Linked DNA regions of Arabidopsis thaliana. The protein of the gene in region 2 interacts with the protein of the main gene of each other region in a pairwise test. Each region holds a gene or a part of one and is shown on either strand. Other genes may lie near its edges.

Region 1 (8,091 bases), 1.5 Mb from region 2:
AGAAACAGAGGACCTAAACTCTCATAGCTCGAGTAATTCATCAACGGCTAATAAGTGAGTTTTAAGCTTCCTAGTCAATCTCCGTCGTCCAGATTTGATAAAAGAAACGATGCTTATACGGTCGAAACGACGTCGTTTTAATATACTAGCTATGTTTTCTCAGGTTACCTAACGACGACGGTGCATGGAATGAACACGCAGTTAAAAACCCAGAAGAAGTAGCTGCAATGGTCGATATGTAAGACCTCTCTCTATCCTCATTTGTTATTATACAAGTATATGGTTTTTATGCAAAAATGTAACATATTTTAATTAGCAATTAATATACGTTATGTACATCTCACTTTCATAATAATAACAACGTTTCAGATAGTCAAACGTTGTGTGATTCCTTAAATTTTAATTTACATAGGAAACACCCAAAAATATAATTAAATTGCACCCATAATGTTCCCATAAATGTTTAATTCTACACTCTTTTGATTTAAACCTCTTTTTAGACCAGAAGTTTTGTACAACTTGTGTGTCTATATGTGAATGTGACACAGACACGCCGTGATCGCCATTTAAAGCGCCTCTATCGTCGCTATTTTTTTTTCCCACCGACGCAAAATTTTGTAATTAATGTATACACATTTTTGTCCATAAAATATATCAGATTCTTTACGTTCTAACATTTATTTAAAACATCACAAAAATAGAAAGTTAAAATAAAATTAAAAAGAATGATATAAAAAAGTTTCCGTATGGTCCGTATCATATGATTCCGTATAAATGGTTTACATTTATTACACCACATGGTTCCTTCTTCTCCTCCACGTGATTTTTGAACTCCAAGAGGGCTTTAATGTGAAATCAAAAACTTCACGGGTCAATTTGTAACAGTTTAATAACTCTGTTCTCTTTTTGTTATTTTCAGGAAAATAAAAACTTCACGGGTCAATTTGTAACAATTTAATAACTCTGTTCTCTTTTTGTTATTTTCAGGAAAATAAAGAACAGTACAGAGCGGAGGAGGTTAGGATTCTTCTCATGCGCCACCGGAAACCCAATAGACGACTGTTGGAGATGTGATCGGAATTGGCATCTCCGACGAAAGCGTCTCGCGAATTGCGCGATCGGATTCGGTCGTAACGCTATCGGAGGACGAGATGGTCGTTACTACGTAGTCACAGATCCATCTGACCACGACGCGGTTAATCCACGACCAGGAACACTCCGTCACGCTGTGATACAAGACCGTCCGTTATGGATCGTCTTCAAGCGAGACATGGTGATTACTCTAACTCAAGAGCTAATCATGAACAGCTTCAAAACAATCGATGGAAGAGGCGTGAACGTTGCAATCGCAGGCGGTGCTTGTATTACGATTCAGTATGTGACGAATATTATCATCCATGGGATTAATGTACATGATTGTAGAAGAACTGGTAATGCTATGGTTCGAAGCTCGCCGTCGCATTATGGGTGGAGGACTATGGCGGATGGTGATGCTATATCGATATTTGGATCGAGTCATATTTGGATTGATCATAACTCTTTGTCTAATTGTGCTGATGGTTTGATTGATGCTATTATGGGATCTACTGCTATTACTATCTCCAATAACTACATGACTCACCACAACGAGGTTAGCTTTCTTTGCTGATTCAGTGGAACTGATGATGAATTTGCTGCAGAATCACGTTTTTGGAGTGGATTTTGGTTGATTTAGTAGCTAAATTAGTTAGTATAGTGAACTGAATTGTGTAGGGTGTGTTAAAGAGTTGAGAAGAAGTTTCTTGATGGATAATGCAGGTTATGTTGATGGGGCATAGTGATTCGTACACTAGAGACAAGTTGATGCAAGTGACAATAGCATATAACCATTTTGGGGAAGGGCTTATACAGAGAATGCCGAGGTTCGTCATGCATTTCATGTTTTCTTTTCGATGATTGTTTGCTACAAGAATCAGGAGGGCTGATTCTTTTGTTGTTATTTCAGGTGTAGACATGGTTATTTCCATGTTGTAAACAATGATTATACTCATTGGGTAATGTATGCAATTGGTGGAAGTGCTAACCCTACTATCAATAGTCAAGGCAATCGTTTCCTTGCCCCGGGCAACCCTTTCGCCAAAGAGGTATACCTTAATTTCTCTCTTTCGGAGTAGGAGATATTGAGAAAGGATGAATCTCAATATTGTAATGGTTTTGGCAGGTGACAAAGAGGGTAGGTTCATGGCAAGGGGAATGGAAGCAATGGAACTGGAGATCTCAAGGAGACCTAATGCTCAACGGTGCCTACTTCACTAAATCTGGAGCTGCTGCTCCTGCAAGCTATGCCAGAGCCTCTAGCTTGGGAGCTAAACCAGCTTCTGTAGTAAGTATGCTTACCTACAGCTCCGGTGCCCTTAAATGCAGGATCGGTATGCGGTGTTAGTTAATTGTATAATCCTCAAACCCAAGACCGAAGAGGATACTGACTAGCTGAGGGAGACAAAGGAAGAAAACTAACTTGTTTTCTTCGTCCCCGTCATTTACATTTTCATCGTCTCCTTTCTTTTCTCTTTTACCATTTTAGACTCTTCTCTGCCTCCACTCGTCAACCTAGGCCAGCTTTGATGAGCCGCAGTGTTGTTCGACTCAACTCCAAAATTGTAGTACAGTGCATTCTTCTTCTGCCTCATTACTCATTTGGTGTATCATCATGTATCATATATTCTTCTATCAATATTAATACTTTGAACTGCTTCTGTTACACTTACACCATTTCTCATCAACAAATATAGATAAAATCAAATCAGAATGGTTTCTTGCCAAGGAAACAAATATAGCCAACTAAAGTGAGGAATTACAGAAGAAAAAAAAAGCTTGTAGAAGAACACAATTAGACTCAAAATGGAGTTTCGGCGTCGCTCCTGGTTTCGGTTGGGCTGTACAATGCGGATCTATTCCTCGGTCTGTTCTCTTCCAACTGCTTCACAACCTCTTCCATGCTGGGTCTAACTGTTGTAACAGGAGCACAACATCCCATCGCTAGCTTCAATGCATGAACCAAACCTTCTTCCATTGGGCTCCTAATCCCTTTCATTGCCTCCAAGTCGAAAACCTCCATTGTCGTCTCTTCCAACACCGCAGCTTTAACCAAAGAAGGCAAGTCCACAAACTCATTACCGTTCCTTCCACTCTTTCCTGGTTTCTTACCCATCAATATCTCCAAGAGAAGGATCCCAAAGGCGTAAACATCACTCCTTGGATTGCATTTCTTCATCTTGTGGAGTTCAGGTGCTTTGTACCCGTCGGATTTCGCCTGCGAGACAATCTCATCTGCTACTGCCTGTACCATTATCTTGTCAAGCCCAAACTCAGTTAGCCTTGCAAAGAAAAAGTCGTCCACAAGCACGTTCTTTGATCTAATATTTCCATGGATGATAGGAACTTCTTGTCCAGTATGAAGATAAGCAAGTCCCCTCGCTATTCCAAGTGCAATCTTGTGTCTCCTAGCCCAATTCAAAGCTGGCTTTCGAGGTTTACTTTCTGCACATCATTCAAACAACACATGAATAACAAAAATCAACCAAGAAAGATCCATGGCAAAAAAGATTGATGATGAAAGAAAATACCATGCAACAAATCATGTAAGCTTATGTTGGGAAGATAGTCATAGATGAGAAGCTTTTCTCCTCTCTTCCCTTGATAGAAAGCTCTCAAGGGAACCAAATTCTCATGCCGAATGCGTCCTAACTGCCTTATAACAGGCAGACAAGAACTTCTATCCTTGCAAGTACCTTCTCTCAATAGCCTCAATGCAATATTCCCTCCATCACTAAGCTTAGCTTTATAGACAGTACCATAGCTAGTCTTCTCCATAACTTGCCCAGTAGCATTCAAAACATCATCCAACGTCAGATTCTCACCACCTTGAAACACAACTAACTTTCCTTCACCGCCTTCTTTCTCACCGATTTCATCTTCTTCATCACCTTCTTCCAAATCATCTTCACTCTCTATACTACTCTTTCTTTTCTTGTTCTGCAAATACCCTATTAACAACGAGGCCACAACAACAGCTCCAGACATTAAACCAATCACCAGACCAGCAACAGCACCTGGACTTAACCTAGAGGAGCCTAGACAAGGCTTCAAAGGCAAACCACAAAGGCTAGGACTGTTCCCTTCGAAAGATTCTGCTCCAAACTTTGACTCACCAAAATCTGGCAACATCCCACTGAAGTTATTATGAGAAAGATTGAGACTTTCTAGCTCTAATACACCTAAACCCTCAGGAACAAGACCTTCAAAGACATTACTTGAAAGATCAAGTGACTTCACACCTTTAAACCTAGTTATAAACTCAGGAAACTCACCTGAGAACTTATTACCACCCAAATCAAGAACTTGGAGATTACCACAAGTCGAATTTGGCAAAGCAGGCTCAGGCAAAACCCCAGACAAGTTATTACCATGAATCTTGAAAGAGACAAGCTTATCACAGAGGTTCCAAATCGATGGAGGCAAAACCCCAGCTAAGGCATTACCACTCAAATCAACATCAGAGAGAGAAGAAGTGTAACCAAGCTCAAGAGGGATTGACCCACTTAATGAATTGATGTTGAGGAACACACTTTGAAGCATAGAGAACTCACCAATCTCTCTAGGGAGTGAACCAGTGAGATTAGCAGAAGGAAGCTGAAGAGAGAGAAGGTGAAGAGAAGAGTCGTTGAACAGAGAGGTATTAGTCCATTGTGGTGAAGAGAGGTCACTACATTGAAGAGGAGACCCATTTGAAAATACCCATTTTACACCTCTCCATTGACAAACAGGAACAGAGGAGTTCCAAGAAGACAACAGTAAGCTCTCACTGTTTCCTTGTAGTGAAGACTTGATTTTTCCTAAAAGAAGCTTCACATCAGAAGAACCAGAGAGAGATGTTCCACAATGACAGTGAAGAATTAGCACAAAGAAGAAGATAACATGAAGAAATCTCAAAGCTTCCATGCCCATTTCTCACAAAGAGACAGAGAAAGAGAAAGAGAGGTTAGAGAAGGGAAAGGTAAGGACTTTGAGTTTCAAGACTGGTCCTTTGTAGCAGAAAGAGAGTGTTGACTACTTTGTAAACACTTTAGTCAAACATCTCAACGGCTATGATTTAAACTCAAACCGTATTGATTATTAACCGTCCGATATAACCAAAAGTTGGAATCTTTATAATCAGAAAGTGTAAACCGGATTGATTGCTTACCGTCCGATCAAGTGTGGCTTAAAGCGATGGACAAGAATGGTATAAATCTACTGATTACTCCTGAATTTATAAAGTTACTTTTCTTTATAACTTTAATTGATTAAACTATAAGCACGCTCAAAGTTCGAATTAAGACTTTTTCTTCTGCCAAAATAATAAAATGATGTTTTTTTATCAAGGTAAATGTTTTTGTGTAATTTGGTTCATGGGATGTTTCATGCTCCTTGAATCTTGACCGTAGATGAGTCATTGGAGACATGAGATGAGTGAATCAACGGTGGATGATGGAGAAGGTGGAGAAATCTTAGATAGTTTTGGTTTCTCTAGAAGACAATTTGTTGGAAGTACACAGAAAATGAAGAGCCAATATTTTGAAAAATGGGAAATGTGAATATCTAAGTGAGATGAAGTTATGTTGTCTATGTCCTTTTGTGTATTGTCTATTTCGAAATTTCAGGGGTGTCAATCGAGTAGACCGGTCAGGTGTCCGAAACATATTTTGGATTTGGATTTTGACATCAAACAAGATTGAGTAATTTGTTTTATTGTTGGATCAAACACGCTCAATTTTTTTTGCGTAGTATTTTTTGGCATAGAAAAATAGAAGGCTTGAATGGTAGTAGTTTATACTTTATAGCATAGTTATTGGTTTTCCAAAAACCCATTTAATTATCCAATCAAGATTAGAGTTCGCATTTTTGTAAACAAAATGAAAAATAAATCCCACTTTAATGAGTTTTTGATAATTGTTTGCAGATTTCTTTTTGTAATTTTAAATCAATATTTTTTCCTTTTGGCAAAATCTATAATCCAAAACCACTTAAAAACTCAAATATTCATGGCCAAAAGTTGTTTTCTTAAACCTAAGCATATATAGATAGGAAAACAATTTCTAATATACTGTATTTTACAATGGACTAGTAAAAGTTTATGAATGATGTGAAAACAATTAGATATACTGAGTCACAGCAGACTAAAAAAAAATTTTTTTGTTGAAATAGATATCAAGTTTGGCTTTTAGTAATATAGAAGTGTCTGAATTTGGTTAAAAAATAATCATAGATAAAGAAATTTATAAAAGGCATCTGATGGTTACTTTGATTCTAATTGACACTTTTGTTCCAAACATTTGTTACAAGTCGGGAAAATTATTTATTGTTGTATACCTCTAAGGTGGCTACACCATTTCGAAATTCAATCCTTTTGGAAAATGAAAAAAATATCTATACATTTTTTTTTTTTGAACAACAAAAAATATCTATACATGTCGATCATATATTCATATGTAGAAAAAGGCATATATTGATGATAATAAGACCACATAATTAGAGCAATATATGTTCTCCAGATATAAATCTCATGCAACTTTATAGAAGAAGAAGTTAGAAACATGAGGAGTCCTTGATTAGATTACTGAGACAACTATGTATGTCACGTCTTTATCAACATCTGAAACTATTCAACTACCACGCTGCTCCTTTTGTAATCAACTTCACTTTCATAAGATCAGATTATTTCATCAACTCCACTTTCTTTTTTGTTTCTCATAGTCTCATTATAAGTCTTTTGTTTTCAAGTTGTCAACCGTCTCACGGCTTTCTAGTAGGGCCTGAATGGAGAAAGGTGTGGTGTGGATATTTGGCACGGGTCAGATCATTGTTTTTTTGAATATCTCAATTCCTTAGGTGCGGTCCAGTTTTTGGGTTTAACCAAAAATAAGAAAGAATAATGATGTATCACAAACAACACACTTATATGAGGAAAATTATAATCCTACCTCACTTGTTTTTTTCCTCCAAAGATTTTCGTTACTCAATAATACAAAGGGTTCAAGCTAACTAGATAAACAAGAAAATGATAGAATCAAAGTGGTAAGGAACAACTCTTCTTAAAATGTCCATATGTAAACATTCTATTTACAAATATTTACAATGTGAATATGTGAATGATATGGATAATTTTGTACATATGTCCATATGTACATTAATTATCATTTTGTACATTAATTATCATTAATTATCATTTTTACTATCATTAAATTGTCCATATGTCCATATTTACAAATAATTTTGTACATTGATAATGATAATTAATGTACAAAATTAATTATCTCAATTCCTTCTTAAATTGTCCATATGTCCATATTTACAAATAATTTTGTACATTAATTATCATTTTTATTATCATTATCAATGTTTGTGTAAAAATATTGTATCATTCAACTCTTCTTAAAACATTCACATTATAAACGATATGTAAGCTCGACTCAAGAAATGAGCCACATATGTAATATTAACCAATTACAACAACAAAAGAACTATATAATCATCTCTCCAGAAATATAACACAAACACCATTTCCAGAATTAATCATCTCTACAATATCCTGAAGGTAAAAAGAGTAAAGAGTTATAAAAGAACCGACTCGACAAGAAAAAGCAAAAAATGGAGTAAAAACCCGGACCCCGACCAAACAGCTTTAATCATGACCCTCCATTTGTCTTCAAGATCCCATGCATGCACGAGAAGTGGCACACTCGGGTACGCTGCCATTTTTTCCTTTTGCCCTCTTTCTTATTTGGTACATAATAATATTTATATTGTTTCTTTTTGTCTCTGTTTTTCATTTAACAGTTTGAGAAGTTGGTGAAGCGACCACCACATTCGCCGACGGAGAGTTATTGTTTATGTTCCTTTGCGACTTGTTTTGTCTCTTCGTAGCTGCTGACGACGGTGGGGCCTCCGGCTTTTGTCCGCTCGGTTGTCTTACTTTAACCCCTCGTATCAACTGTCATAATATTATTCTCAATTAATTATGACAAGATAAATACCAACAAAAGTAATGATGAGAGTTAAATACTAATGAAA
Region 2 (8,936 bases):
AGGGCCCCAAAGACTCACACTAAATGAAACTAGTGGGCTCAAGCCCACGTATGCACACGCTCTCTTAACACGTCAAAATTTTAAAAATTCCACAACGAGACGTCGACCTTTCACGCGCTTCGGCACGTGGAAATCCATGGTCCTTTCCTATGGGTTTTGTCCTAAACCATCCTTCGGTCCGACCAAACCGCGTAAGGTAAGAAAGACTCCGACCGAACACGGCACCTTCTCCCACAATAGTGTAAAGTGATCGTGATCAGAAACAGATATTTCGCTAAAGATTAGCCCAATTTAGGAAAGATGATGATGAAGTTAGCCAAGAGAGAGATAACAAAAACATGTGGCTGTGTATGTAAAAGACCGAGTCACCCGAACATCTCCACCTTCACGCCATTCTCCTACCACTCGGACCTAACCAACCAATACCTTCCACGTCATGTACAATCCGAGTTCCCGTGAGATAGGGATCTTTACTTGAAGCAACCAGACATGACCGCAGAGTCACACACACACACACCCCTAAGCTTTTTGTCGTCCCCTCGTATGGAATCCATTGTGGGACGACACAAAAATATCTTCTTTTGCTTCTCTGCTTTCTTCTTCTTCTTCTTAAAATTTGTTTCTTTCAGGTGGATTTGATCTCCATCTACGTAAAACAAAAACAAAGTTTATAATCTTTTTGGATTTTGGGATTGATCTAAAGTGAGATTTCGATCTTGGCACTAGGTTTTGCAAGGTTACCTAACAATTTCTGGTTCTGATTTCATTTCTTTAGGTTACGTGTAAGGGAAGGAATTGTTAATAGGGTTTGTTTGTGAGCGTAGGGAAAAGATGGGAGGAATGAAAGATGAAGCAAAGAGGATAACAATTCCTCCATTGTTTCCAAGGGTTCATGTCAATGATACTGGAAGAGGAGGCCTGTCTCAACAATTTGATGGCAAAACAATGTCTCTCGTCTCTTCTAAACGTCCCAATCTTCCTTCTCCGACCAACAACATATCTGATTCTCTTTCCACTTTCTCTTTGTCTCTTCCTCCACCACCAAACAATGCCCGTCTCGTGAGTCCTTTTAATTCACTCATTCAACTTTCTTGGTTTTGTGTGTCTGCAGATTTATATACAAGAATGGTGACAATGCATATTTAGATTATCACTTTATGACTTGTTGAATACTTTTTTGTAACAGATTGATGGACCTGAAAAGAATCAGTTTTCACCAATCTACAACACAAAGTTTGAGGGGAAGCTGAATAAAAAAGGCATAAATTATACAAGTCCTAAAGGATCATCAGTTACTAATACTAAGCCTAGTTCAATAAAACAAAATGAGTACCTCAAGAACCTTACCAGCTTGGATTCTATTAAGTCTCCTATTGTTATACACTCAGAAATAGATCCACAAGCAAACACAGATTTGTCACTCCAATTTTGTACTAGCGGTAGCAGTAAACCCGGAGGAGAGGCTGTTGTTGGTTCTAAGATCCTTTTGTCAGAACGTTTGGAAGATGAAAACCAGAATGGGTCTCCCAATGTGATGAAAACTCAATCATATAGAAGAAACTTTGCTGAGTTTAACAATGAAACTCAAAAGAAGCCCAAAACTCTGCCTCGGCGTGAACAAGTTGCTTCAAACTGCTCTGCAATAGAGTCTTTGTCTGGTATAAGTGCATCTTCTTATGATATTGCCAGAGTGATTGGTGAAAAGAGGTTTTGGAAGATGAGAACATATATGATCAAGTTTGTATCCTCCTCTCACTTTTCTTATGATCCCAACTTCATAACTTTGCCGTATTTCTTACTATTTTTTATTGTTGATATTTTCAGTCAGCAAAAGATCTTTGCCGGGCAAGTATTTGAGCTCCATAGACTGATAATGGTAAGCTTTTAATAACCTTATTGTTTCTGGTTTGCTTTCTATGCTTCAGATTACTTAATATGATGCAGGTTCAAAAGATGGTTGCGAAGTCGCCAAACTTGTTTCTTGAAAGTAAGCTTAATGGTGTCAAACATGGTACAATGAGGTCATCACATCAGCTTGCAATGGCGGCTTCAAAGGTTAGAAAGCCAAACACTGAGAATCACAAACCTGTACCTGAAGAATATCCAGAGCATATGAAACCAAAGCTTCCTCTACCTTCCATAAGCAAAGAACTCGTGACTCCTATTTGGCCACAACAGCTACTTCCTCCTCCTGGAAACCAATGGTTAGTTCCTGTAATAACTGATTCAGACGGTCTGGTCTATAAACCATTTCCAGGACCATGTCCTCCTTCTTCTTCAGCCTTCATGGTTCCAGTTTATGGCCAAGATTCACTCGAGACACCATTCAGGTTCCCTGTTTCTTCTCCATTCAGCCACAGCTACTTCCCACCTCCTAACGCGAGGACAACAGTTGACCAAACAAACCCGTTTGGTCAGTTTCAAAGATGGTCTAACACATCAAGCCACATGACACAAGCCATTCCATTTTCTTTAAAGAAGTCTCAGGAATCTAATGACAGTGACATACATGGAAGCACAGCTTCAAGTCCACCAGAGAAGCATAAACTTGAAGTGCTTCCTCTGTTTCCTACAGAGCCTACCCATCAAACTGATGAGTACAAGCAGAAACAGCAACCGATGCTTCGCGCCATTAAAGCCGTTCCTCATAATTCAACATCTGCCTCTGAATCTGCTGCAAGGATCTTCCGTTTCATTCAGGAAGAAAGGAGGGACTCAGATCATATGATTAGTTAGTTCTTTTATATTTGAAACCCTTCCACATTCTTTTGCTCTCATTGCTTCTTCATCTAGCTTAGATTTTCAGTATATTCTATTTACTCTTCTTATGAAGATGTAAATCAAATACTATCACTATACATTAAACATACACACACTTATACACACATCTTACATTGTTCTTGTATTGACAAACAGCTAATAAAAGATAGACTTTTGTGCTTCTATTCCAGTTTTGAGGAGTTTAAACATTGGAACAAGAAGAGTTCTTTAGCCATTGAAGTATCTATATTATCAATGTGGAAGGAGACAATAAGGATCAGAGTTGTGTCCATGCTATACGAAGCTACACTCAAGTTCAAGAACATTTCAGAACAAAAACCAAGAACAAAAAGAAGACAAGAGATCCATTAATTAGAACCCAAGAACCTTTGGTGCAAGTTTAAGTAAAGGCTTCAATGCGCTTGGAGCAAACTTTCTTGCAAAAAGATAACAAACTTGAGATGGCTGATCATTGTAGAAGCAAGCTTTACCTCTTGACAGCTTCTTGATGAACTTCTCTGTTATATCAGCCTTGCCAAAAGTAGCTGGATGAGCACCACCCCTTGACCAATCTGTCCAAGTCAATGTCCGATTAGCGAGAAAATCCGGATATCCAATAGAGAGCATTGTTGGGAAGTAATGTTCATCTACATAACAAGGAGGTCTACAAAACTCTTTGAATTTGTTATAGTAAACCATGTCTTCAACAATATCAACAGCAAGTGCTCTGTTTATTTCAAACCACTGAGACCCTTTTCTCCACTCGTTTAGACTTACTTCTGGTCCCATTGCATAGCTATATCTGCCTCTCCCGTAAGGCCCGTCCTCGTCAACAGAACCCATGAAACTATATCTTGATCTAGAGACATAACGGTAGACAAAGTTGAAACCGCGAAGAGGAATACACGCTTCAGATAGTAAAACAAACCATTCGTTAGAGATATCGAGCAACGCGTTAGCCAAAAGCCTCCTTTCAGCATCACACATACTCATCTCTCCCCAAGCTACATGCTACACACAAATAAAGAAACTCCGAAGTGAGATAAACCAAATCAAGACACAAGAAGCAACATTAATACATTGATCAACAAAAGTACCTGACTTGGGATCTGTCTTCTGTAAAACACAGATGAGCTTGGGAAATCTGATCTATAATTTGGCAAAGTATGAACATAGATTGAGTAAAAGCCCTCATGCCCTTTGAAAAACCTTTCCCAAAGTGGAGCAAATGGCAAAGGTCCTTTGGTGAGAAACATGAATGCCATTTTAGGAACTCTTTTAAATGGATAGTCAAGTATCCGAGGCTCCATCGAAGCACGCCAAAGAAGCTCACTGTCATTCATGGAATGCCAACCATTCAATGGAGGCTTGATAAGGCTCTCTAACGTAATTCTCTCATCATAAGTAGAGATCAATGTCGATGGAGCTAAAGTTTGAATCTTTAAGTACTTGATCATGTGCATACTAATGACTGAGATTCCAAGAACCAAAACAAAGAACAACAAGAAAACTTGAAGCACCCGCATCGGTAAAAGAGCTTTAAGTTGGTTTGTAGGTCTTGAATTGGGAGCTGATGCAGCATTATCTTTAATCCCTTCCTCCATCCCCATCAGGCTTCAGTGTCTTGATGAACAGAACCTGTTCTGTTTATATGCTACTTACATAAGAAGAGAAACACAATTAGATTGTCTATCCTAAAACATTCACAAATCTCAGTAGATTGTCTACCCTCAACCAATCAGACAAGAATGAGGATTTACCAAATAGGGTTTTGTCCGGAAACGTAGGCAAGCAAAAACGTACGAGAAGCTCCAAATTCTAACCTTAGTTCCTGTCGTTTTAGAAGAACAGAGACAAAGAATGACGAATTTGATTGGAGAAAGAAAAGAAAGATTGAAACTTTGAATGGAAACTTTACCCAAAAAAAAAAGGTAGAAAATTAGGATTTGGATCTTCTCAGACACGCAATTCGTTCAGCTGTCGGATTCGTTCATGATTTGTCTGTCGTGAGCAGGAAGACGTGCAAATGGAGGTTAAGTCTTGTCTGATGATCGTATTCGAGAGATGTCTCTGAAACTCTAATCTGATTTTGGTATCTACTTTTGGAAACAGAGAGCTTAAATGTAAAGAAACTCACAATAAAGCATTAAACCCTAGTTAGGACATTTGTATCTGTTGGTCTCTTTTGTAACTGACGGTCTTAATACGTTTTATTACAATTTAGACAAAACGTATTACGGTTTGATTACGATGTACTGTAGTATTAAATAAACTATTCGGAAACACACGCTTCATGTAATTAATGTGGGTTTTGGGTTTGATGTCTTTAATTTTTTCAATGTTTATATAATTCTCCAGTTTGGTTAAATCTGTTTCAACAACTTTGTACAACTTTGTTTTTGTTTGCTAAGAAATATTTTTCTAACAACTAACAAGTTATATTATCAAGTTGATAATCAGTACTTTGCCACTAAAAGAATTCAGAATTATTAATTTGCATAAAAAACAAAATCAAAAATCTGATTTCATAGTTGATATCAAAAGTAAAAGTAAAAGAGGCATACCGAAATTGTTGGAATATGAAAGTTGTTTTGGTTCAAAATCTTGTAGTGGGAACAAAGCTTTCAAAGTGAAAAATTGCAAGAATTGTTCTATAGTCAAGTACGATTCTATTCTATTCCAAAGATTACTTAATCCACAAAAGATAAAAGAGCAAGTAGAAAAAAAATTGAGTGTCTCAGGCTGCTCATTTGTTGGAAGTTTTCTCCAGTAGTTTCGGATCCGAACCAAACCCAAAAACCTGAATTCGAAAGGTAAACCCGATCCGAATCGAACCTAGGAACCAAACTGAACTCCACCCAAACATTATAAATATCCGAATGGGCTCTAAGAGCCTAAATCCGAAAACCCCGAACGGATACCCGTATACCGAGCCCTGACTAATCAGCATTCAGTAGCAACTCTCAAAACGCTGTCGTTGTGGGTTTAGTATATGATTAGGGGTTTAAGCTATACAAGACGAAGAAGATAGGTCGACGCAAACACGATGTCGTTTTGAAATCTATTCACACTGTTCTCTCTTATCAACAGATTCAGAAATTAGCACCCGACTCGGGCTCCGTTTCAATGTTGGCCGCGACGCCTGCTCATGGACTCAGGTACGTGGTGGTGCCCACACGCTCATGGCTTCATAGGTTTCGATGCTGCTCGTCTTCTCTCGCTCCTCTCTCCCCTTCTGAATTCTCGGGCGGTAATAAAGCCCAGAAGAAGCTCAACGACGAGAACAACACCAACGTAAGCAATGAGAAAACGGCGCCGTATTATCCGAAACGAGGAGAAACAGTGGAGCTTGTGTGCGAGAGTTTAGGATTCAAAGGCAAAGGAATCTGTAAAGTTGATGGAACTGGCTACGTCGTTATGTGTGACCGAGCTCTTCCCGGCGAACGTTTTCTTGGCCGTGTCACTCGCCGCAAAGGCAGCTATGCTGAAGTAGGTTTCATAAAAACTTCACCTTTATCTTCTAATTACGATTTTTAGTTATAAAGTTACGATTTTTAGTTTTGATTTGTTGTTTTTTGGTTGTTTCTCTTAGGTGACAAAAATGAAGACAATATCTCCACATAAGGACTTAGTAGAAGCTCCATGTGAGTATGCATCTTACTGTGGTGGTTGCAAAACTCAGAATCTCTCTTATGAAGCTCAGCTTAGAGCTAAAGAAGAGCAAGTTCATGAGCTTATCAGACATGTTGGAAGGTTTTCTGATAACAATCCTGGCCTTGAGATTGTCTTGAAGCCTATTGTTGCTTGCGATATTCAATTCCATTATCGGAATAAGGTTTGTTTGATTGTTGTGCTTATTGGTTGGTGCTTTGGTTTTAGACTCTGTGCTTATAAATGTTGACATTTTGAATTAGATGGAGTTTTCATTTGGTCCACAAAGATGGCTTCCGATTGAAATGTTAAACGAGAGACAAGATGGTCCTAAGAACTTTGCATTGGGGCTCCATGCACCTGGATTTTTTGATAAGGTTTTAAATGTTGATAAGTGCTTATTACAGAGCGAGCCAGGAAACTTGGTATGGTGAAAGTAGTTATACAGAATTTTGATCTGTGTAGAGCTCTCCTCTCAGAATCATTAATAACTTTTTTTTATAAATCAAAATAGGTTCTTGCTGCTGTCCAAGATTGCTGGAGAGATCCTGAATTAAGTCTTTCACCATATGATTGTCGTTCACATGTTGGGTTTCTTAAACATTTGATGCTGAGAACTGGAAGGTATTAAAGGTACTTGAATCATATTGTCGGTAGAATAAGAAACTTGTTCTTGTAACATAAGACCAGTAACAGGGAATAGTGTGTTTGTCATGATGAACTAGAATTGATGGGAGTGAAAAATGATAGTTAAATCTGTGCTATTCGATAGTTCTTTCATTGCACTAGTTTTTCTGATGTTTTCTTGTGATTAAACTTGACCATAGGAATGTGGAGACTGGTTCACTAGAACTTATGGTCAATTTTGTGACATCGTCTTATAAGCCAGAGCTGTTGAAACCCCTGGTTGATAGGATTTCATCAATTCCTCAAGTGGTTAGTACTGAATCCGATTTGCTTCATTCCTACAACCCGTAATTGAGTAGCATTTTTCTTGGTTTGTAATTTAACAATTTCCATACTTTTTTACTTGGCTCATACAAATACAGGTAAGCATTATGAATAATGTAAATTCTTCGGTAGGAAACACATCCGTTGGCGAAAAGGAATATACTCTTTATGGGAAGGATACAATCACAGAGGTCTTAAGAGGGCTTACATTTCAAATTTCAGCCAACTCTTTCTTTCAGACTAACACTCATCAGGTATATGGTACCACTAAGCAACATGGTTTCTTTTACACTCAAAACATTAATCACAACTTGTTGAAAATAAAATGGTGTTCACTGTGTAGGCTGAAGTTTTATATAAGCTTATTGAGGAATCTGCTGGACTTAAAGGAGATGGCTCAGAAGTCGTGCTCGATCTTTTCTGTGGAACTGGTACCATAGGCCTTACACTTGCCAGAAGGTAAACAACATGAGCGTAAAGTACTGTCAAAGATTAAAAATAAAATTGCAGTTGCTGATTGTTCAGTCTGATTCTTCTCCCTCTAGGGCGAAACACGTGTATGGTTATGAAGTAGTACCACAAGCAATAACAGATGCACACAAGAATGCCCAAATAAACGGCATAGAGAATGCAACATTCATCCAAGGGGATCTAAACAAAATAGGAGAAGATTTTGGGAACAATTTCCCTAAGCCTGATATCGTTATTTCTGGTTATAATCATCTTCTTCACATAGTTAAATTTCATCTAGGTTCTAATACTTTGCAGTCTACCAATCGTAAGAAGTGTTTTTACAGATCCCAATCGACCTGGTATGCACATGAAGTTGATCAAGTTTCTGCTAAAGCTTAAATCTCCACGGATCATTTATGTTTCCTGTAATCCTGCAACCTGCGCCAGGGATCTCGATTACCTCTGTCACGGCGTGGTTAGTATCTAATCTTATCCCCCACTTGAATCTTTTCTCTTTAACTCATTTGTGAAAGTAATCAACAAAACTTGGTGATTTGGAAAACGTAGGAGGAGAAGAATCTAAAAGGTTGCTACAAACTGATGAGTGTTCAGCCAGTGGATATGTTCCCTCACACTCCTCACATCGAATGTGTCTGCTTGTTAGAGCTTGCTTGAGCTCTATTGTCACCATGGCTGCTTCATTTGGTCTCTAATCAGATGAGAGACAAATGAAAACAGAGATTTTTTTAGATTGAGGGAGTTTTGGTTTTCCATTAGAGTTAAGTATCTGTAATCTTTTTCATCGAGTTCTTTAATAGCATTCATAGACAAGAATGTAAACGTTTTTTAAAAAGTTAAAATCCCACCAAGGCAAGTGGTCTTTAAGAGTTAAGATCCTGATAAGAGAATTTTATTAAAAACAATCACTAAATGGATCTGCTTGTACAAGTTTCATGACTTCTCAACATCTTTTGAAATAAGACAATTTCACTATGAATGATTAAACGAATGTGGACCTAAATCAATGTAAAATGAGTGCATATCAATCTTCCCATAAGCTTTCTTCATCTATGTCTTAATCTTGTTTTCTCGAGCTAAGTTGACGAGCATAAGCCGCGACA

What was found.
Region 1: the proteins of AT3G21310 (region 2) and TMKL1 interact in a protein complementation assay, tested with the Arabidopsis thaliana proteins (one large-scale study listed by BioGRID).

Annotation. Positions count from the first base shown.
Region 1 is NC_003074.8:9,000,536-9,008,626, reverse strand, and holds TMKL1 (transmembrane kinase-like 1), read right to left. Parts: upstream 5,059-8,091; 5' UTR 4,987-5,058; coding exon 3,606-4,986; intron 3,520-3,605; coding exon 2,876-3,519; 3' UTR 2,684-2,875; downstream 1-2,683. Other genes in the region: AT3G24670 (Pectin lyase-like superfamily protein), read left to right, coding at 1-54, 164-238, 988-1,630, 1,798-1,901, 1,985-2,123, 2,201-2,422; ABI3 (AP2/B3-like transcriptional factor family protein), read right to left, coding at 7,847-8,011. UniProt on the Arabidopsis thaliana protein: Does not seem to have conserved a kinase activity.
Region 2 is NC_003074.8:7,493,208-7,502,143, reverse strand, and holds AT3G21310 (Core-2/I-branching beta-1,6-N-acetylglucosaminyltransferase family protein), read right to left. Parts: upstream 4,905-8,936; 5' UTR 4,679-4,904; intron 4,640-4,678; exon of another isoform or gene 4,592-4,639; 5' UTR 4,521-4,591; intron 4,415-4,520; 5' UTR 4,371-4,414; coding exon 3,858-4,370; intron 3,772-3,857; coding exon 3,133-3,771; 3' UTR 2,737-3,132; coding exon of another isoform or gene 1,945-2,736; 3' UTR 1,877-1,944; coding exon of another isoform or gene 1,825-1,876; 3' UTR 1,821-1,824; downstream 1-1,820. Other genes in the region: AT3G21320 (EARLY FLOWERING protein), read left to right, coding at 832-1,059, 1,187-1,737, 1,825-1,876, 1,945-2,736; AT3G21300 (RNA methyltransferase family protein), read left to right, coding at 5,887-6,249, 6,353-6,595, 6,675-6,836, 6,926-7,035, 7,239-7,347, 7,461-7,616, 7,706-7,821, 7,908-8,074 and 2 more; AT3G21305 (uncharacterized protein), read right to left, coding at 8,891-8,936.